Linked DNA regions of Pelodiscus sinensis. The protein of the gene in region 3 interacts with the protein of the main gene of each other region in a biochemical or structural test. Links are inferred from orthologs where the notes say so. Each region holds a gene or a part of one and is shown on either strand. Other genes may lie near its edges.

What was found. The genes of interacting proteins can lie anywhere in the genome.
Region 1: the proteins of TEK (region 3) and ANGPT2 form a complex in vitro, tested with the Homo sapiens proteins (7 studies listed by BioGRID and IntAct, with this or other methods). The link is inferred for Pelodiscus sinensis from reciprocal best matches to the Homo sapiens genes TEK and ANGPT2.
Region 2: the proteins of TEK (region 3) and ANGPT1 form a complex in vitro, tested with the Homo sapiens proteins (6 studies listed by BioGRID and IntAct, with this or other methods). The link is inferred for Pelodiscus sinensis from reciprocal best matches to the Homo sapiens genes TEK and ANGPT1.

What each region holds. Positions count from the first base shown.
Region 1 is NC_134713.1:41,345,243-41,352,229, forward strand, and holds the start of ANGPT2 (angiopoietin-2), read right to left. Parts: upstream 3,001-6,987; 5' UTR 2,686-3,000; coding exon 2,398-2,685; intron 1-2,397. UniProt on the Homo sapiens protein: Binds to TEK/TIE2, competing for the ANGPT1 binding site, and modulating ANGPT1 signaling. Can induce tyrosine phosphorylation of TEK/TIE2 in the absence of ANGPT1.
Region 2 is NC_134712.1:30,479,399-30,487,160, reverse strand, and holds the start of ANGPT1 (angiopoietin-1), read right to left. Parts: upstream 3,001-7,762; 5' UTR 2,599-3,000; coding exon 2,302-2,598; intron 1-2,301. UniProt on the Homo sapiens protein: Binds and activates TEK/TIE2 receptor by inducing its dimerization and tyrosine phosphorylation.
Region 3 is NC_134716.1:15,379,832-15,386,766, forward strand, and holds the start of TEK (angiopoietin-1 receptor), read right to left. Parts: upstream 3,003-6,935; 5' UTR 2,518-3,002; coding exon 2,466-2,517; intron 1-2,465. UniProt on the Homo sapiens protein: Tyrosine-protein kinase that acts as a cell-surface receptor for ANGPT1, ANGPT2 and ANGPT4 and regulates angiogenesis, endothelial cell survival, proliferation, migration, adhesion and cell spreading, reorganization of the actin cytoskeleton, but also maintenance of vascular quiescence.

The DNA of each region.
Region 1 (6,987 bases), on a different chromosome or scaffold from region 3:
TTTTCCATGTTCAGTGCAACTACTAAGGAAAGAAGAAGTTGCAGTCATTTAATAACAATTTTCTGTCAGTGTTCTATTAACCTTTCAAAACAATTTAAGATACAAATTGAATGATCATTAATTTTGGCTAATCTATCATATTTATTGGAATATTAATGTAGTGGCATGTAGTATGTTAGGTGACAGAATAAAAAGAAATCAAGTAAGGTAAGTCAAGCACTTTAAGGCTTACTATTTGCTTTTCACATCCAGTTAAACCAGGTGTGACTAGTAATATGAGCCTTAACAGAAGTTGGCTTTCTGAAGTGCTCTTTGTAGATATAACAGAAAACAAAATGAGCAGGTGTTAAAGCAATGAAAAGGTAAACAATAAGTCATTCTATAAGATGGTTAGCTGCTAAACATAGAAAGAAACCATTATAAATGGGCAGTGTGCACCTATGGAAACATTTGCAGAACTCAGAGAAATACTTAAATGTGTGTGTCCTCTTTAAAAACAACCAAAAAATGACCTTTTGAATTCTCATTGTTGGATTTGTTTGTCTATTATTTTGTAAAGGATTTCCTAGAGGTTGGCAGGAAAAAGAGAAGTTTGACTAATTGAGGGGGAATTATCTTACAGGTTTTTGCTTTACCTGATGTCACTTTATTAAGAAAACACAATATTACAATAATTTATATGTAGCATAGAATGCTTCTGTGTGCTTTTATTATTCATTTTAGGAAATGACTTGTGGATGGATTAGATTGTTTTATTTTGTATATTTTCATCTTGCATTGTAAATCTGTTAGTGTTGCTCTAACACTGCAATGGAAAATATTGGTAAATCAAGAGAGATGAATGTACAGGTGTATGAAGGGAAACGAACAGGAAGTTAAAGCAAAAGAGTGAATACGGAAGCAAAATGCAGGACAATGTGAATACGGACTGGACATTTAAGATCTATTTGGCAAACTTGTGTGACTAAAATTAATCATCCTAAAACCCTAAAAGAAGGCTTGTGGCATAAGGGTCTGTGTAAAATCTTCCAAGTTTCCAAATTATGAACTGAGTCTAAGGCTAGCTTTCATATATGAAGGTACGCATTGCTTTATATTTTGAAAAAATGCTTCTGTGTGTTAAACATGCACTCTTAGCTGATTTCACAGGGTACATAATCCTGGTTATCTGTGTACCTGCTGGGAGGAAGTGAGTCCTAACACAAATATTATTCCATAATGATAATTCATTATAAATGTTGGAATAAACAAAGAAGTTGACACTTTGTACTTCAGTTTGCAAATCAGCACCATTTTTATGTTGTCATTGAAGCATGTGAGGGTAAATGTTTTCAGTAAGTATTGTAATTAAGTTGATAGGTTAAAGCATTCTTTTTGCTTAAAATACAGGCATAATAGTGTGAAATAGATTTAGGATAAGAGCTATACCATGCAACTAAACTGTTTCTTGAACATAGATTAAAATTGTGTAACTCAAGCTTAAATCAAAATTTAATATACTGGTTAATATTTTGGGAAAGTCTGAATTAGTTTCGGTAAAATTGAAACTTGTTCATGTGGCATTGAATGTATTTGTATTCTCTATTAACATTAAAAATGTTTGAGTGAATAATTTAATTTCTAATCTGCTATTCACGTAGAATATTGCCTCCTTTCAGGTATTTTGTGTGTACCTCTCTGTGTGCATATATACATATGCATTCCCTCAATTATAACAGGTTGTTCTGTAGCAGTTATGAGGACAGAGAGATTTCTGCACTAGCTTTGTTTCGACTTTTTCATTTATAAACTCACTATTTAAGTGGAAGAGTTACAGAATACAAATGATTTTAATTATGTGGAGCTTTCCTGAAACTGTCATTTCCCTGGCTTAATTTCAGTACACATCAGTCTCTGGAGATGCTGAAAGCAGTATTTGCAGATTTAGACACAGAATCTTGAGTCACATACTTAAATTTATCTCTGTAGAATATGCTGAAAATGTATTCCATGTAAATAAACTGTATACCCTTTTAAATAGAGACAAGCTATCCACTGTCAGTTGTTTCTAAAGTTTTTCCTATTACTCATTGCTACATGTATGATTTTTCACATAAATGCCTGCAGCCAGTACATAAAACTGCTAGTAACTATTGTCATTAAAGCTGAGTTGCAAGTTAAACAGCATATTTGTTCTGCAGAATAATATAGCTCTCACTTCTTTTCTACTTATTGTATCCCTAACTTCAACATGAGCTTTTGATTGGACCACTTCATTCTCAAATTTAGCTTGGGAAATACATAGTTTGACAATTTTGTGAAATTAGAGATTTACAGAAGTAGAAAAAGAAGCATTAGTAAAAAATACATAAACATTTTATGTCAGACCCTGTATTTTACAATAGAAATCAGTCTTACCTTCATTAGCCGCTGAGTGTTGTTTTCCATGCTGTTTTCAAGTAGTTGGAGTCTTTGTACAGAATCATCATAATCTAGTGGTGCATCTCTCTGCACTGCATTAGATACATAGGAGCTGGAAGAAGAGCGGCAGTTGTCCATCTCAGGCAATAGAAAGGTATAACTGCACGACCCATGCTGAACCTGGTACTGCTTCTTGCCTATAGTCTCCATGCTTTTACGAAAAGAGCTGTACCCTGAAGCTGAAACAAGATTACAGCTCAAAATAAAGTAAACAGCCAGCCACATTTTAATTGCTACGATAACTCTGCAAATCTTAAGTACTGTATTTTCAGTATTCTTAACAAGAGTTCAGAATATCTAGTTATCTGCTCTGAAATTCAGTGCTTTACTGCCATGTAAAGTACTCTGAATGAGGGCATTTTTTACTTTTCTAGTTGCAAAGTTGGTAAAAAAGTGCTGTCTTCTCTCCAGCTGTGCCCTCACTGTCAGAAACAGTCCTGTCTCAGCTGCAAGTTCTATGTTGGTTTTTAAAATAAGCTTTAATGTTTTCTTCTGCTTGTCTTTTGGCAAGATTTTACAGCTTTGGTATCTGAATCAATCACTTTCCTTTCCTTATATGATAAGTTGATAAGAGTAGCCAGACATGTGTAGCTAAACTGCTCCTCCCTCCTGGCTTATCCGTTATCTTCCTGTAGAGGGGGTCGCTTGCAAGGCAGAACAAAGATCAGAGCACACTTCTGAATGCTGCATGGTATGCGGCACTAAATCTGTTCAAAACCTGATCACTTATAGGACCCCTATGAATTTCTTTAGCACAACTCTAATTAAGAATTTCCTAGACAGAGAAATCAGTTCTGCAAGCCTCCACCTATGCTTCCAGTACAACCTTGTAAATTATTTGTTGTAATCATTTTAAAGTATGCCCACAAAAGGTCCTTTGTTTGTTCCTCTTAAAGAAAAATTCTTTTGAAATGTGTCTGACCAGCATAGCTTGGCCTATGTTTAATAGTTTGTATAAATGAAGAGGAGGATACTTCTAATCAGACAAAAGCAGGCTTCAGTCTACCCTTTCAGAAAGAAATAATGCTCTTTTTTAAGTATTGAACCTTCAACTGTGAACAGATTATGTGTAAATATATTCTACTGCAATTAAAGTAGACTTTTATGTAAATCATGTAAATATGAACAACAAAACTTGAAAGCAGTTTTTAAATGTTAGTCATTTATATTAACTGGCTAATTTAAATTATATTCGTTTTTTAAATATTAAATCAAAAGTCAGCTAGGAAAAAGGGAATAACTTTTCAGAGTAGTTGTAGGAATTCCTCAGTACATGACATGAGGGGAGAGGTATCATACTGGTCCAATATCATGTCTCTAGTAGAGGTCAATAGAAATGATGGAAGGTGAAGAAAAATGTCATGAAGCCATATTTATAATAATCAGTTAAAAAAGATCAGGAAGGAGTTGGATTCCAATAATATCTTGGAAAAATACATCTCTGCTCTAGAAAATATGCTATGGAAACCATAATGCTGGGGGGACTGAATCTTGAAGAGAAATTCCCTGCATCTGGACACAGAAACTGGACTTCTCTACTTAAATATTATTTTTTATTTTTAAGTAAACGTGGTGCTAAAGAAGGTTCCAAAATAATATGCCTCAGGGATCAAAGGCCCCTATTTATACATCTGACAAGCACAGTTAGTTATACCATAAGAAGCATCCTTACAGATTTCCCTATATATCTTTCTATTAACATGGTTTTACTTTCCATGATATGGAAACTACATAAAGATTGTGAAAGCCAGTTATAGGAATTAGAACCTCTACTTTGTTGATCATTGGATGGTTGGGATTTCTTACTCCACTTATATTTTAGTGATTGCCCTATCTGGAGATCATCCAAAGTGTTTACTTCTGGAGAACCCCAACGTGGACAAAATGTGCTTAACTTAAGTTTCTGCTCTGAGAGAGAAAACAAATATGTCAAATTTGTTTCCTGGGAAGTATTTTTTTTCCATTGACTATGCTTTGAATTCCAGTATATTTATTTATCTGAATTTGTCTGAAGACATGATGATGAGGGATATTTGCAGTAAAATATAACTATCAGTGAAACATTTGTTTTTGCTAAATAGGGAGAATTCATAGATTATATGTACAACTCGATATTGTTACCAAAATTAATGAATGTGACAGATGCGCTAAAAGCTTGTCAATACAGCCACAAAACTTCTTTGAATAGAAGTTTCTCTTTTTCAAAAATATTCTACTGTTTGTATAACAGTTTCTCTCAATTAATGAGATTACTTGTGGCAAGGTGTCTGAACAATCATGTTTGTTCTTAGCTTTTTAAAAAAAATCTTAAATCTGATTTTGTCTGGCTAGACATTATTAGGCTATTAGCATTATTAAAGTGTGATTAAGTTAGATTCAGATTTTGTTTTACATTTTTGAGGGATTTTTACTTGACATTTTTTTCTTAGATGTTGTCAGATTGGCTTTTCCCCCGAAAGTATGTCCCAAAGCATTTAAGGCCCTTGATAAGTTAGTTTGAAAATACTGAGGAGGAAAATACTTCTCATGAGGTTCTTCTTTTCTGTAACTTCCTCCAATGCTGAAAGTTTCCATTTTCTTAATGAGGAATACTTGGAAGATTCATCTTACTTTTCTTTGACTTTTTGGTGTGACCTTAGTGTATTTTCATACTTCAATTTGACAGTGAAGTGGAGGGCAACATTTACCGGTATGATCTCCTAAAGGATTTCTTTTTGGTTGGTTGAGTTGCACTGGCGCCTTTATGTAAAGAAGACAGGGACTTTGAGAAGATGTCAAACAGAGAAGAACCAAGAACCCTTTCCTGGGGGAAAAGGGTAGCTCTTGATTTGAAAAAAATCTTACATGAGATAGCATTTCTGATTTACTAAGGATCATGCATTCATCCTTCTGCATACTGGTTGACTAAATCACTCAGAACATTGTTATACTTAAATTCATCTGGGTTTTTGAGAAGGGATCAAAGGGATTGGATGTGATCCAGCAACCCCTAATGACCAATGGGCAAGAAGGTTAGAAGAATGTCATGTGAAGTCTTAACTGAAAGCCAGCATCATATTGGTCATTAATGTTATGAAATGTATGTACAGATACTATGTTGGAGCCATGGATATATATTGAAAATACATTTTAAATTCTGTATTATGGCAAAAGTGAGAGCTTTTGTCAGACAAAAAATGTTTATTCACCTCTTTCTCATAAATTATATAAACAAACCATCAAAAAGTCAGCAGAGATGTGTAAAGTCAACAGGAAAAACAAGCAATGGGGTTATATTATGTCTCAGTAAAAACTGAGCTTTTGGGATGTAAGTATAAAGCAAAGAGGGCACCCCACTGATCCTGAATGTAGAAAGTAAATAGGCAGTGCATTTACATTCATGAAAATAGGATCACAACAAGCCTTGGTGGAAGATGCTATAAAAGGCTTTGGTGAGATGAACTTCTTTAGAAATTAGCCTGTTAAGTTTAGTCTTTAGAAAATGTACTACAAGTTTGTTTTATATGGTAATCTTTATTTTTCTGTTATCCTTAGTGATAGTCTCTTCTGTCATGAACCTCCTTGATTTCACCTTAAATATCTCTGAGCTGTGATATTAGGAAAGGTGCTGCTGGTGCTGACTTGAAGGATTTAAGTCGGTGTGCACACTGATCCCTTGGGGACAGCAGACCTGGTATTTCTGAGTGTTCAGCAGATACAACAAGGGAATGATTCAAACTGAGCTCAGGGCCTGGTATTACACTTTTTTTTTAAACTTTCAAGGTTAAGTAAAGGGTGCCACAGCCAAGCTGAGAGTGATTCAGTGGCTAATAAGCTGGGGATGTTAGGGCACTGACAGTTAAACACTCAGGAACTTCTCTCTTACTGAAGTCAAGGGAGTAACCAGATGCATCAGTCATGGGTGCCCTGAGAAACTCACACTTGAGCCCTGGCTCTTGAGGGTTGCACTTGCTTCTGTGTTGCGAACGATAGGAATAACTATGAGAACCTGTTTGAGGATAGATAGGCTAAGAGTAAGATTGCAGTGGAGGACTGTGGTGAGGCAGAATGGATGCCCACTGATCCAGAGAGGGAGGCGTCCCTCCCAGAGCCCTGGTGGGAGGATCCTGGCTAATAATGCTTGATAAAGCTTGAACCTCCACAGGAAAGAAATTTGGTGGTTTGAATGTTGGGAAGATTAACCAATTTAGCATTTCGGTTGAATGAGTGGCACCTAGTTGCTGCACTGGCATTCATGAGTTCAGCAAGATTGATGTGGTGAGTACACACATCTGTCCCCAGGGATGCTGGCTGGAACCCACGTGAAAGTAGTGAGCTAGTCTACAACAATCTCTTTAGAGATCTGTGGGTAGATGCACTGCTAACTAATATTTTGTTTGTGGAGAATTAGTCTAGAGCTCCTGCACAGTGAGACTTCCCTTTACTGTCCAATACGTGTGTCTGGTGATGAAGTGAGTTGGAGATTCCCCTCAGGTATATCAGTAAGGACTTTTGGCGTCTCAACATCTGGGCCAGGCAGACTTACTC
Region 2 (7,762 bases), on a different chromosome or scaffold from region 3:
GATAGATAGATAGATAGATAGATAGATAGATAGATAGATAGATAGATAGATAGATAGATGATTTATATTACCATGTGGAGGACCTGTGCACAGAATGATTGTAATGGAATGATTTGGGTCATAGCAATAAAACAACTAATATTTCTAATTTCCAATCTTCACAGCAGGTGCATTAGAAAGTGAACAAACAGTATATTAAATACATCTTACATTACAAATTCAGGAAAAAATAATTTGAGGGGATAGAAATTGGGGGTGGAGGTTAAATATTTTCCTTGTTTTGAAAGGGAGATGGCTATTGCTGATATGGGCTGCAATGACAGCAGCAAATTCAGTATTCAGGGTCGTAATAATGTAACCAGGTCAGATTCATTTGCCTCCACACTGAGAAACTGAACCTTTTATTCTAGTGAAAAACGGACTCATGCAGATAAGTTCTCACTGCTGCATGCCAGTTTCATGTAACCCGTGGGAAGGTTTCACCTGCAGGCAAGTTTTGATCATTGACAAAGTGCACAGACCTCAGAGGTAACATTTACACTGACTAGCTACCTGTTTATCCATCTTCTCCCCCTAAAATGTGAATACTAGCTCTAATTCAGACTCAGAACTCGAGAGACTCATTTTTCTTCTTGTCCAATTCCCAAGTGAAACAGTGATCTTAGTTCAGTCCCTAGTGGACAAATGCAGAAATAAGTAACAATCTCATAAGCATGATTCAGCAGGCAGTTGTTCAAGTAAAACCATGAGCGCAGGAACACAGATAACATTTTTACTTTCCATAGAGTTTGCTTTGAAAAGTACAGTGATAACTGAATAAGAAATGTTACACCCTCCAAAGAGACAAGCCTCCAGTTCTAATCTTTTGTCTTTCTAAAGTACTTCATACAGTTTAAATAAGGACTGAAATAAAAAGTGAAAGCTACAGGACTGAGCTTATCTCACTATGTATGTTTTCTTTTACACATGTGTTTACTGCACTTAATCATCCTCATACCATTAGCAGCAAACATAGAGTAACTGCAGATAAATTGACAAGGAAATAAGGACACTAACGACAGAACTGTAAAACAAAAGGTGTTAAATCTTTTCTGTAGTAGCTAACAGGGATGGGAATTGTAAATGATACAGCTGTCAACAATTACATTAAAATGGACTTTTATTGTTTATCCAATATTTGTTCTAAATGTCAACTCTTATTACATCTGAAACATGTAACTTGTGGAATACAAAAGACAGAAAAATTTGTTATTGCAGTCTTAGCTTATTAAACATTTCACCAATTGTTTGAGTGGTTTTAGTGTTACTGGCTAAGTAACACTAAAGAAGTTACAGGGACAGCAGTAATATCTGTGAGTCCACTGATACAGATAAAAATATATGTTTCTGATAGAAATGATCAGCTGTGCAGGATCGTAACTCACTGCCAATTCTCATTACCAAGACAGTGGCTTACTTCCACTTGTAGCTTTACTCACATGAGCAGTCCCACTGAAGACAATGGGATTACTCAGATAAGTAAAGGTATTCACCTGCATAAGTCTTGGCAGGATCAAAGCTCCAAATTACATTTTAAATACAAGAAGTTAATCTGAAAGTTTACACTTTTAGCACAAATTATTTAAAAAGAATTTATTTTTATATTCCCCCAAAATCTCCTGAAATTCCTGCAATACTATCTACTTTATGTAGACATGTCAATGAAAATCATGCTGTTTCATGTTTAATATAATCTATACATTTTTAAAAAAGTCATACTGTGATTTCTAAAAACATGTATATTTCTGCATTTTATGAATTAACTGACTATGGCTGTACAACTGACTCTGTTTTGGGGAGATTAATGGAATTCTCATTACATGGCTTTCAAATTATTAATCACATTAAGGCAGTCATGTCACTATTTTGTTAAAAATGCATAGTTGCTGTGTATACCAGGTATCCTTCTTGACATCTGATCTGTCGTCCAGAACTATAAATAGATGTTATAAGAATACTTAATGAAAAGCGTGCCATCATTAGAAGTCTCTGAAGGATTATTATACACTCTGGCTCTCAAAATATGGTCCCCTAAGATCAAGCTTTAAAAAAGACATCTTCCAGCAATGTTAAGAAAGTTTTGCTCCCCAAAACAAAGTAAGCCCAGGAGGAAGTGGTGAGCACTAGCTGTAATATTTCTCACATGGAAATAGACAAATCCACATTATCTCAGGTCTCAAAGAAGCACATGCAAACTGTGAACAGCACAGGAAAACATGATAAATAATCAGTTAAAGCAGAATTTGAAAGCGCAATACTTACTTTTTGCAGCCACTGTGTGTAATTTTCCATCACATGTTCCAGATGTTGCAGTTTCTGAGAAGAGAAATCCTGTTCCACGTGAGGAGCATCTCTCTGAAGAGCATTTGTGTTGTATTGGTCTGTCGTGCTTTCACGACAGTTCCCGTCTTGTTCTGGAAGAATGAAAGTATAGGTGCACTGCCCATGCTGAATCCGGCTGTATCTTCTCCCAGTGGTTTCTGGACCCCGGCGCTGATTACTGCACCCTATGTGAGCCAGAAGAGCAGCCAGGAAAGCAAAAGAAAGGAAAATTGTCATGTTATTACTACTTTTCTTTCCTGCTCTTATAGAAACTTTTACCTCCTCTGTCTTTTAATGTGTCTTTATTTTATAGAAAAAAATCTTTGGAAAGAGGATTGGAGAAGAGTATTTAAATCTCAGCTTGGGCTAAAATGGTTTTTATTTCACAGTAATTATAGCTTCCTTAGTTAAATTTAGAAATATTTATTGCATAGTAGCTAAGATTTATGGTTTCCTCTCTGTTACAGTCCAGCATGTAGCCTTCCTTAGTTAGCTGCATATGCATATCCCAGTCTCTCTCCCCTACACTATCTGCTGCAGGACTGCTATTTTCTCTCAGACCTCAGAGAGTTTTATTAAGGTTGCACTTTCAAGCCAAGCTGGAAGCAGGCTGCCTTTCACAAGATGACTTGATAGGAATGTGTGTATGAGTGCGCCCCTATGCTAAGGATGGCTGATGGCTCAGTACAGAGGGATCATCTTACAAACTGGCTCGATGCATTACTTCAGTCTTGACTAGTTGTTCTGTTCCTGTTGCACAGAACTGCTCCGGACAAATTCACATATGTTTATTAAATGGGGCAGTCCACCTTAATATACTTCCTATGTTCACACTGACTTATTAATATGTAGATAAAGTGTAGAAATTTGTTGTAATCCCTTATAAGTAAATATGCAGAGTCCTGAAAATAAAAAATGTTCAGTATTAGCTATTTGATTGTCTTTTGAATGCTAAGACAGAAAACTGACACTTATGGAAAATATTAACATTTCCCATGCTTCTTTTTTTTTACAATGACATTTTGAGCAGTGTTTACAGAGATTCTCTGCACAAGGCATGATGAAATCAAAACTGCCAAATAATATTTAGAAAGAGCTATGCAGAAGAGTGGCATTTCTATATGTTCAGTTAAAAGAATAATATGTCTAATTTGAAAAAATCATAGTCAGATGTGCTAGACAGAATATACCCTATTTGCTATTGTGTGTGTTCATGTAAAATGTTTCTATGAATCTGAAAGTTTGCATTAATTAAATTAGCATTCCTCATTATATGTTTTATTATTTTGTATATTATTATGCATATGTAATAGTCCTTTCTTGAGTGCAGAGGACTGGAGTAGATGACTTATTGAGGTCCTTTCCAGGTCTTCACTACTGTGATCTAGGCAGTATTTCCTAATAATAACCTCCTTCAAAAAAGCACTCAGGGACCTATTTAGAATAATATTTTAAGCATTAATAATGTCTTTGAAGATGGGTCCAGGAAACAAAATTTTGAAACAATCTAAAAGTTCCTAAATTTCATGTGAGTTTGAATCCAGATTCCCATTACATCTCTAGTACATTGCATATAAATCAGAGTTAACTCCTCTGGAACCCACTTTACAGCAAACTGATGTAAGGAGGTCTTTAACATCAATATTGTTATTGGTAGCAACAAGACAGCAAAAAAACTATTTGCATCAGTAAAGGCTGCCTAGATTCCACCTTTGGTGCTTGTGTGGGTATCATAAGCATTTCTATAGAAATTCCACTTTGATTCAACAAAGTTGCAGGGGTTGTGAACCAGAATTCTTTGCTGTTCCTGAAGAAGCTACTGCCAGTCAGAGTTAAAGACTTAGTCTTTTTTGTTCAGTTCAGCCTGACCTTTCATCATTAGCCTGAAAAGGAGCCAATGTATTTAAACTACAAGGAAATCTATTTTCTTCTGAGAAAGAGAACACAAGGAAACTTTCAGAGCAAGGTAACATGTTCTTGATCTGAGAGAGAGAGAGAGAGAGATGAAATGGGACTAAGAAAAGAAAAGAATAATTCACTTTGGAAGAATAAAAACTTCCCTCCGTTCTTAGAACTAGTCAGCCCTTACTTCACCTTTCTTATTTTCTTTTCCTTGCTTCTATACCTATTTTTAAAATTAACTTAATAGAACCCATTATACTACAAGCACTTTTCATACTGTTCCAATATTCTCAGACTTACTTCTCTGAACTGGCTCCGACAGGGGAAGCACAAGCAACCTCCCTTCTCTAAACTGCACCAGTGCCTGCAATGAACTTGCTCCTGAGATTGTCAATTCCCTTGGCAGGGACCTGGCACAGAGGAAATGAACCAGAAAGTTCAGGATCTGCTCATAGCCCTTATGAATACAACTGTGGCCACATATGCACACATATAATACAAATATACATTTACTATATTTTTTTTCTAGATATGATGCCTTGCATAAGGCCATACAAGAAAAGACTAACATTTTCTAAAGTTCACTATTCCTATCTCTTTATACTGCTATCATTCTCTGAGAAGTTCAAAGGACCACTACTATCTTCAAGTTCTCCTCCTCATTACAAGAGTATATTCATCCAATCATCAAATAATAATATCTTGTGACTTATGTGACCAACTCCAATTAACCAACATGGCTCAAATTTTGAATATCAAGGATTTAATTCTGTCAGTCAACTGTTTGTGATTTTATTCCTGAAAGGAAAAGGCAGTTCCCTTCCCACCCACAAAAAAACCACGTATTGAGTAATAGTGACTAATAAATACATTTGAAGGAATTCTCCATCTTCCAGCTGAGATTCCATGATGAAAAAAAGGAACTTAATTGAGTAAGTAATTTATTCACAATCACTTACTCAGTTCTGGGTAAGTACAAATGATCCCTGTTTTACAGATTCAGAGGCAGATAAAGACTAAGGGTATGTCTACACTACCACCCTAGTTCGAACTAGCGGGGTAATGTAGGCATACCGCACTTGCAAATGAAGCCCAGGATTTGAATTTCCCGGGCTTCATTTGCATAAGCCGGCTGGCGCCATTTTTAAATGCCGGCTTGTTCGGCTTGGAACGAGGCGTACAGATAGTTCGGAATGGCTTGCTAGTTCGAACTATCTAGCCCGTGCGGCGTGTAGCCGCGTGGCACGGGGTTCGAACAAGCCGGCATTTAATAATGGCGCCGGCCGGCTTATGCAAATGAAGCCCGGGAAATTCAAATCCCGGGCTTCATTTGCAAGCGCGGTATGCCTACATTACCCCGCTAGTTCGAACTAGCGGGGTAGTGTAGACATACCCAAAGTGACTTGTCCTAATTTACAAGGAAGTCACTGGCAGAGCACTGACAGAACAGAACCCAGGTGTGAATTTACTTTCCACATTCAAATGCATTCCCAAGAGCACTTCCTCAATGACTGTGTCCTTCACCCCCTTGTACTTTCGCTATAACAAAATCCTGGGACAGTGTAGAGATGGCCCAAGAAGTCTTCAGCCTGCTTTTTTTATTTAGTTGTAACTTGAAATTCAGCAGTTGACCATGTAATCCAACCTAATACACAAAATGGATGAGGATTTTGTCCAGATCAAAGTTACACTCACATAACCTTAGTTCCCATTTATCTTGAAGAATACACACATATGTAATTGGATGTTTTTTGTCGTAGAATATTTATTCACAGACTTTAAATATACTTAATGAACAAAATCAATGAAGTTTCTTTACATATCTATTGCAATGTGTGTTGTTGCTGCAATTAACCTAGATTAAGTTACAACACATCATACAATATAACTGGATTGCTCCTGCATAACTTTCTCTACATCATCGCAACAGAAAATGTATAGAAAGTATCTGTCAGGACCTAGATAGCAAGTCCAGGATTTTTTACCTCCAGCAGAATCAATGGAATTTTACACTGTTCTATTGATACCTTACTTTCTCAACAGAGCACTTAATCTCAATTAAAATATATACCAGGAATTTCAGGATAGAGTTACTGAAATGAGGTCTGGATTTTGATTTCATTGACACCGGCTTTGTATGTGTGTTACTCCACTGACTTCAGTGTTCCCGATATACACCCATAATATATGAGGTAGAATTGCAGACACTTTTTCCAGTATCTGATTATCAAGGACACAAATTCAGTTAGCCAATGGAGAAGAATTATTTACCATTTTAAACACTTTCTCCTATTGCTTGAATGTTTTGGTTGTTAATCTCCTGGGGGTAAGTTGTTGGTGGTTTCAACTAAATGAGTCTTCAGGAGTGAAGTGTATATATTTACATTTGTATATTCAAGCCATGAATCTTATGCAGTATACTCCACCAGGTCATTCTGTCAAAGGAACACTCTAATGTACAGAGTCATTCTATTTCCCTCTGCAGCTTTTACAGCATCTGATCTCACACTTGGGAGCAACCAAGCAGCAGGGAAGATTGACATAGTGGTAAAAAAGCAGCAGGTCTTTAAAAGGACGCAATGGTCTGCTGCAGAAACAACCGAGCTACCGGTTATTCTCGTTTGGTCTGGTGAAAACATTTTCTGTAGACCAATTGGATTCTGTTTCTCAAACACAAATGATGAGGCTTGTTGGGGCTCTCTATGGCTTTATTACGTTATCGGACAGATCCCAAATGAGCAGTGGTTAAGAATGTTGTGCCCCTATTTCCTGAAAACTTCATTTCATGCTGTGGAATGCATGAAAAAAAATGAGTAAATCTTACCTTCCTCACAACTCATACTTTTTACCCATGGTCAGAGAAAGTCAATTAGACAAATTCAGTTCACTTGATTCTTATTCATTACACAGGAAAAACTACCAAAATAAACCCTTAACTTCTTGTTTAATAGAGGCTTTTAAACCAACATTTATGCCCATTGGACTCACAATTCTTTCCATGCACAAGGCCTTTTATTGCATGCAACTGCCATTCCCATCAACAAGAATTGTGGGTGTTTATCTGGGTCATGAACTGTTTGTAAACAACTGGAACAGATTTCCTGGTTCTTAATGACTACCTACAGGAAAAATAGTGGTGATCCCACTTTTCTGCAATTCTTTTTTGGGTGCCTATAACAAAAACAACCTGATGTTGGTGTTATTAATGATGGATGTTACATAGGGATACATATACAGGGCTGAACTTCTGGTGCCCAGAAAATGATTAGTGGGTACAAATCTCATTGCCTGTGCTTCCAACAATCCAATTTGTGCTCACAGTCAGGAAGCAAGAAATGCAAGTATTGATTTGCATCTGCAACTGAACTATGTGTGCAATACACAAACATAAAAGTTGCTGGAGTAAATTGTAGCCTTTTTAGTGCTGACCAACAGCACAGTAACTGCTGAATAATTTACTTATTCCAGAAACTACTCCCAGGACTTGTTCCCCACTGGT
Region 3 (6,935 bases):
ATTTCAAAAGCAGAAGCGCCTGTAGTGGGAACCAGCGCGAGCAGGCCTGAAGCAGTCCCCACTTGCACCGTTTCCCACTGTGCCTCTGCCTCCCCTGCCTCCTGCAGAGAACCAGCTTTACTGGTTCCCCCCCAGCACCAGCACCAGCTCCTGCGCCCCCTCCCCCCGCTGCCTCTCTCCATAGAGGCAGCAGGGGTGGAGAACAACTAGTCGAGTCGACTAGTCGCTTACATCCCTAAGGGCTACGTAGTGCCCAAAGTGTAGAAGGAAAAACTCTGAAGAAGGAAAGTGTGTTCACATTATTGGTTTTGTCAGGTCTATCCCTAGCATTAAACTTGTCCCTCTTGCAAGTATAATTGAGATACACTTTGGATTGTGCATTGTTGGAGAGAGGCATACATTATATCTTACTTTAATAACTTGTTTGGAAATCAAGTCTTTTGGCTGAGGGTCATGATGAAGGAAAGGAAATTACAGGGCATTTAATGTAGCCAGGAGCCAAGCCTAAATGCATAGTCCCCACCTTGGAACAAGGGTGGAGTAGATTTTTGCCTACCCAGCAGCACGCACACAAAGGCCCACTACCATTTGGGACAAGGTTAAGTCAGTTCATAGTCTGCCAATTGCATTGACTTTAATGTCTCCCCTGCTCAGGGAATGTCAATACTGCTTTCCTGAACTCCGCCTGTTCTATCTAGAGGAAAGGGGGTTAGCATTGTCTTCCACAGCTCGCCCCAGGAAACATGATATCACACTTGAACAAAAGCGGGAAAGCTGACAGATCTATTGAGATGGGTGTGACTACAATACACACCTAACTGGTCAAGCCCTGTGGAAAGGGCTGTGACTGGCAACTCTTCAATACCAAACTGAAGTGAGCACACTGTCCATGTTTATTGCTAATCTGTGCCGATCGCTTTTGTTTTTCACTCATGCACATGACTTCATGGATTTTACTTGCTTCCTGTAACAATCATGTGTATACATGAGGAGTTGGCTTCAAGGAAGGGAGACCCAGAGGAGATTTAACTCAGAGAGGGATGTAGTATTGTCCCATTCAGTTATGAAGCCCTATTTTTCATCTTCTGAATATAACACTCAGGGCACAGCCTATCTGCCTCTTACGTGAAAAATCAGTATTGAACTGAGAATTAAATAGGATGCAGTGCTATACCTCTACATCAAACAGGCAACCCCTAGCACAAGAGGAATATAGAATATGCAATCTAATGCGGCAATAATTATACAACAATATGCACACCACCACCACATTTTATGTAAACTTTTTGGCCTACATATTGCCACATACCTTTCCAGATACTTAAAAAACTCTCAAAACTCCAAACCCTTTTGTTGGCCATTCTTCTTACTTTTGAACATTGTTGTTCTACAATCTCCTGATCTTTAGGCTTCACAAGTTATACAGCAATAAAAAATTACATTTTCTTTTGTTAATTCCTTCTGTCTCTCACTGTCACAGCCTGCAGCTATCAAACACATTGCTTTTCATGTAGAGATAGCCCGGAGCCAGAAAAATTAGATCTGGAGCTAAACTTTCAGAGATTAGTAAAAATCTGGGGTTCTGGTTTGAAACCATCTCTAGGTTTATGTTTTGTATCTTACATTGAGGAGATTGCCTAGAAACAGGTCAGAGAGAGACACTAGCAGTGTGAGCTTCAATGCTGAGAGAAAACTGCATGGAAAGAAGCTAATACTCAGAAGAAAGAGGAAGCATATCTTATTTGAGAAACGCATCTCTGACTTCTAGGCTTTTCTTGCTGTGAAATAAACTTTGCATTAGTAAAATCATAAGAAGTTTATGCTTACCAGCTATGGGAAATACATACAGTTAGCACTATTTAGACAATCAAATTATGTCTGGTAATAACATTGTTGAGACAGATGTGTTTTTAAATAGTGTTTGAAATGAGCCAATCCATTGCATTTAATGCATATTATTCAAGCATCAGTGTCCAGTAATTAGTGTCTAGATTCAGCAGCTGTAAGAGTCTTGCTAAAAATAAATACTAGATAGAACACATCAGATTTTTACCAGTATTTCAGCTCTATATTTATGAAGTGGACTGTAAGAATCAACATTTACAACAGATTTTGCAAAAAACATATGGTGATCATTTCCATATCACAGGCTCAGAGAAAAAGTTAACTGGTTCAGCAGAGAAATCCACACCGTGGTGATTGTAAGTATAAACAAAGAGCAGCTAGATTTAAAATGATTTAGCTACATATCCCAAACACAGTCAGCCGTCCTCTTACAGAGAATCAGGGCATAACTGTGCTACCCTCACCAACAGGAGAGATCCTTATTTATGCAAATAATCCCACTGAAGTCAATGTGAAAATTATACCAGTAAGGATCAGGCTTTTTGTCTGTTCATTGTGCAAAAAACAGTAAAGCCATGGCATATCGCAGCACTAGCTCAGTAACTAAAACAAAGTCTTACCTGAAATTATCAGGCTGAATCCACAGAGAATTAAATGTGCTAAAGAGTCCATGCTTTCCAAAATATATCCATCCAGTTTCCACAGCAGCTCATGGGGTTAGGAGTATCCTTTTAATGGAGCAGACCTTGGTTACTCTTCGCTTGCATGATATGAGAACTCTTGTTTACAGAAGCAAGAAATTGCAGTGCTGGAGTGGGCTATAACAGTCTCATTGCTGTCTGAGTACAGGGAGTTTAAGTTCCTTTTTCCTGTTTCCTTTGTAGATTAGGATGGGAAAGGCAGGATCTTAAAGGCATTTTGTATCAACAGGACTGTGAAGCACTGCAAATCCTGTCCATCTAGCAATACATCATAGCACTTATCTGGGGTTGTTGGAGAGGCAGGGGATTGCTCTGAGAGAACCAGCAACAGGTCACGGTCAGCAATGTCAAGAACAATAGTGGCATCCTCCAATAGGCGGAATACTGAAAACAAGCTCTCTATCTATGAATGGCATGTGGAAATTGTCATCCCCACCTCTGCTCTAACTACACATCTGCTAATCGCTCCACAGGTCACCTTACACTTCAGCACTTCAGTGAAGAGTTTCCAGGATACGTCACAGGGTTCAACTCACCACCATGGCGCCTCCTGCTGGCCATGCTGGGAGTTAGCTCTATTGACCTCCCAACGCAGTGCCTCGCCACAGCTACTTCTTGTCCGCTCCCTGTCTGGATCTGTGTCGGTCCCGAGCTGCATTGTCTACGTTGGAGCACAGCCCTCTGCCTGAGCTCCAGTACTATTGTCCCTCTCCAGTCCTGGGAGATCAGCAACCCACTATCTTGTCACTCGCCTCAGGGGCCCATTGCAGGACTCAGCTTAGACTCCAGAGACAAACGGCAGTCTATCCTGGCCACTTTCATCACTGGCGAGTGATGGGGAGAGAAAAGGGGGATGGGCAGGCTTACTTGCTACGCTGGGTCCCAATCCAGGGACTCTTTAGTTGATTCCTTTCACTGCCCCTCCCCAAATTTTCTCTTCTCCAGGCCTCAAGCCTGCCAGACATCGCAAGGCTAGCTGTGCAGCCTTGTGCTAACTGTGCAGCCATCTAGGAAGCCTGCCTTCCCCTCGGGTCCTCTGCATCAGACACCCACCCCTGGTCTGTGGCTTCCCTTTTATCAGAGCTAGCTGTGCCCTAATTTGTAGCCTACCACTTAGCCTAATTATCTGCAGCCTCAGTTGTGACTGTCGGCTACTGAGTCTCCCTAAGTTGGCTTTAACACCTACAGGACTGTGCAGGACAGATGCCCCACCACACACACTCCCCCTTAAGCCTACAGCCCTCTGGGATTTTACTGTTTCTGACCCAGCATCTCTTGGTTCCTCTTTTTCTCTACTACTTTCAAGAGGAAACAGATGTTCTCTCTCACCTCTTGGTCACATTTGATGTGAGTTCTCTTGCACTCCAAGCTCCTCTCTGGTAGGTGCAGGGCCTCCTCCATGGTTGCTAGTTTCCCGTGAAGCTCTTGCACCTGTTCCTGGAGATCATAGAATTATAGAACACTAGCACTAGAAGGGACTTCAAGAGGTCATCGAATCCAGACCCTTGCCCTCATGGGAGGACCCAGCACCAGACCATCCCGGATAGATGTCTATCTAAACCGCTCTTAAGTATCTCCAGAGATGGAGATTCTACAACCTCCCTAGTCAACTTATTCCAGTATTTAACCACGCTGACAGTTAGAAAGTTTTTCCTAATGTCCAACATAAACCAACCTTGCTGCAGTTTAAGCCCATTGCTTCTTGTTCTATCCTCAGAGGCCAAGAAAAACAATTTTTCTACCCCCTCCTTGTGACACCCTTTTACATTCCTGAACACCGCTATCATGTCTCCTCTCAGTCTTCTCCTTTCCAAACTAAACAAGCCCAATTCTTTCAGTCTTCCTTCATAGGTCATGTTCTCTAGACCTTTAATCATTCTTGTTGCTCTTCTCGGGATCTTCTCCAATTTCTCCACATCTTTCTTGAAATGTGGTGCCCAGAACTGGACAATACGCCAATTAAGGCCTACTCAGCGCAGAGTAGAGCTCACAACACTCCTATTAATGCATCCCAGAATCATGTTTGCATTTTTTGGAACAGCGTCACACTGTTGACTCATATTTAGCTTCTGGTCCACTATGACCCCTAGATCCTTTTCTACAGTACTCCTTCCAAGACAGTCGCATCCTATTCTGTATGAGTGAGACTGATTGTTCCTTTCTAAGTAAAGCACTTTGCATTTGTCCTTATTAAACTTCATCCTATTTACCTCAGACCATTTCTCCAGTTTTTCCAGATCATTTTGAATTACGACCTTATCCTCCAAAGCAGTTGCAACCCCTCTCAGCTTCGTATCATCTGCAAACTTAATAAGCGTATTCTCTATGCCAATATCTAAATCGTTGATGAAGATATTGAACAGAACTGGTCCCAAAACTGGCCCCTGCAGAACCCCACTTGTTATGCCCTTCAAGCAGGGTTGTGAACCGTAAATAACTACTCTCTGAGAATGGTTATACAGCCAGTTGTGCACCCACCTTACAGTAGCCCCATCTAAGTTGTATTTGCCTAGTTTATTGATAAGAATATCATGCGAGACCCCATCAAATGCCCTACTAAAGTCTAGGTATACCACGTCCACTGCTTCTCCCTTATCCACAAGACTCTTATCCTATCAAAGAAAGATATCAGATTGGTTTGACATGATTTGTTCTTTACAAATCCATGCTGGCTGTTACCTATCACCGTATTATCTTCCAGGTGTTTGCAGATTAATTCCTTAATTACTTGCTCCATTATCTTTCCTGGCACAGAAGTTAAACTGACTGGTCTGTAGTTTCCTGGGTTGTTCTTATTTCCCTTTTTATAGATGGGCACTAGATTTTCCCCTTTCCAGTCTTCTGGAATCTCTCCTGTCTTCCATGATTTTTCAGAGATGATCCCTTAGCCCCATTTCCTTGTTATCCAGGGACTTGGCCACAATCTCTTGTGTCTCTGGATTCCCCTGCATCTTTTCATGGGTCTTCTCATTTTTCATCCTTCACCCACACATTGAGCAGGGGAGCTCTCTCTTGACATGTCCATGATCCTTTACTGGCCCATCCATCTGGTCAGTCAGGGCCATTGCAAGGCAGATGCCCAATCACAAGATACAATTGTCTTGTTGTTTATTTATTTAATCCATGCAGAAGGTGCTTATTGCAAGGCATCTACAACATAAACATGAAAGAGAACCCTAACAAAACATGTCAAATGCAGTACAGCAAAGCCAAGAGCTCTCCAGCAAACCACATTACTTAATCTATTTTACTCAATTTTTTTTCATTCCAAGACTGAAAACAGACTCTGAAATTTGATGTGTATAAATCACAATACAATTTGTTTTGACTTCAGTGGAACCTAAATGCCGGGGAACAAAGAATAAACAAGATAAAATCATAGAGAGTAAAACCACATGAATTAGTAAAAGTTATCAAGTGGAGAGGCAACACTCAGACAAATCAATACAACTGTAAATAGAGGGGATTTCCTACTTATAACTACTTGACAAAAAATAAACCCAAGTATTAGAAAACAGTGTAGTCTTACCGAGATGTTTTACACCCAGAATGACACTTCAGCAAAACACAGAAATCAGATCTTAGTCGCTAATGGAAAGTGGGTTATGGGACTGATTCTGCTTCAATTTGAAGACAATAGGAAAATTCTTGCTGACTTGAATGGGAGTAGGAATATTTCCCGGTATGGGGTTTCAACAAGGTTCCCAGATGCCTAGAAACATAAACAGTTTGTGTATGTCACAGGGGGTATGTCTAAACTACATCCCTCTGTCGAAAGAGGGACGTAAACTAGGCAGATCAAAAGTGCAAATGAAGCAGGGATTTAAATATCCTGCACTTCATTTGCATAATAGCGTCACAGTGTTCTTTCGAAAAAGGGTATTTCAAAAGTGAAACCTCAGTCTTGACGCAGTTCTTTAAAAAAACCCTTTTTCGAAAGTTCCCATACCCCTCATTTTTTAAGGTGTACAGGATCTTTCGAAAAAGAGGGTTTTTTTTCGAAAGAACCGCATCTAGACTGCGGTTTCACTTTCGAAATACCTTTTTCGAAAAAATGCTGTGACGTTATTATGCAAATAAAGTGCAGGATATTTAAATCCCTGCTTCATTTGCACTTTTGATTTGCCTAATTGTGACAGACCACAGCCTGCAAACTGCAAAACTCTTAGAGAAGGCAGCCATATAGGGAGGTGGGTTAATGCTTTTTTGTTTCCAAATTAGCCTCACCTGAACACAGCCTAGCAGCCAGAGTAGAAAATAGAGTCCTAATTAGGAGGCAGCTTGCAGCTGGGGTTAATTAAGCACCGGCTGCCAATTAAGGCCTCCAGTGTTCCTATAAAATGATTCCTCCCAGGCAGCAGAGGGGGAGTTTTTTGGAAGGCGCACAGA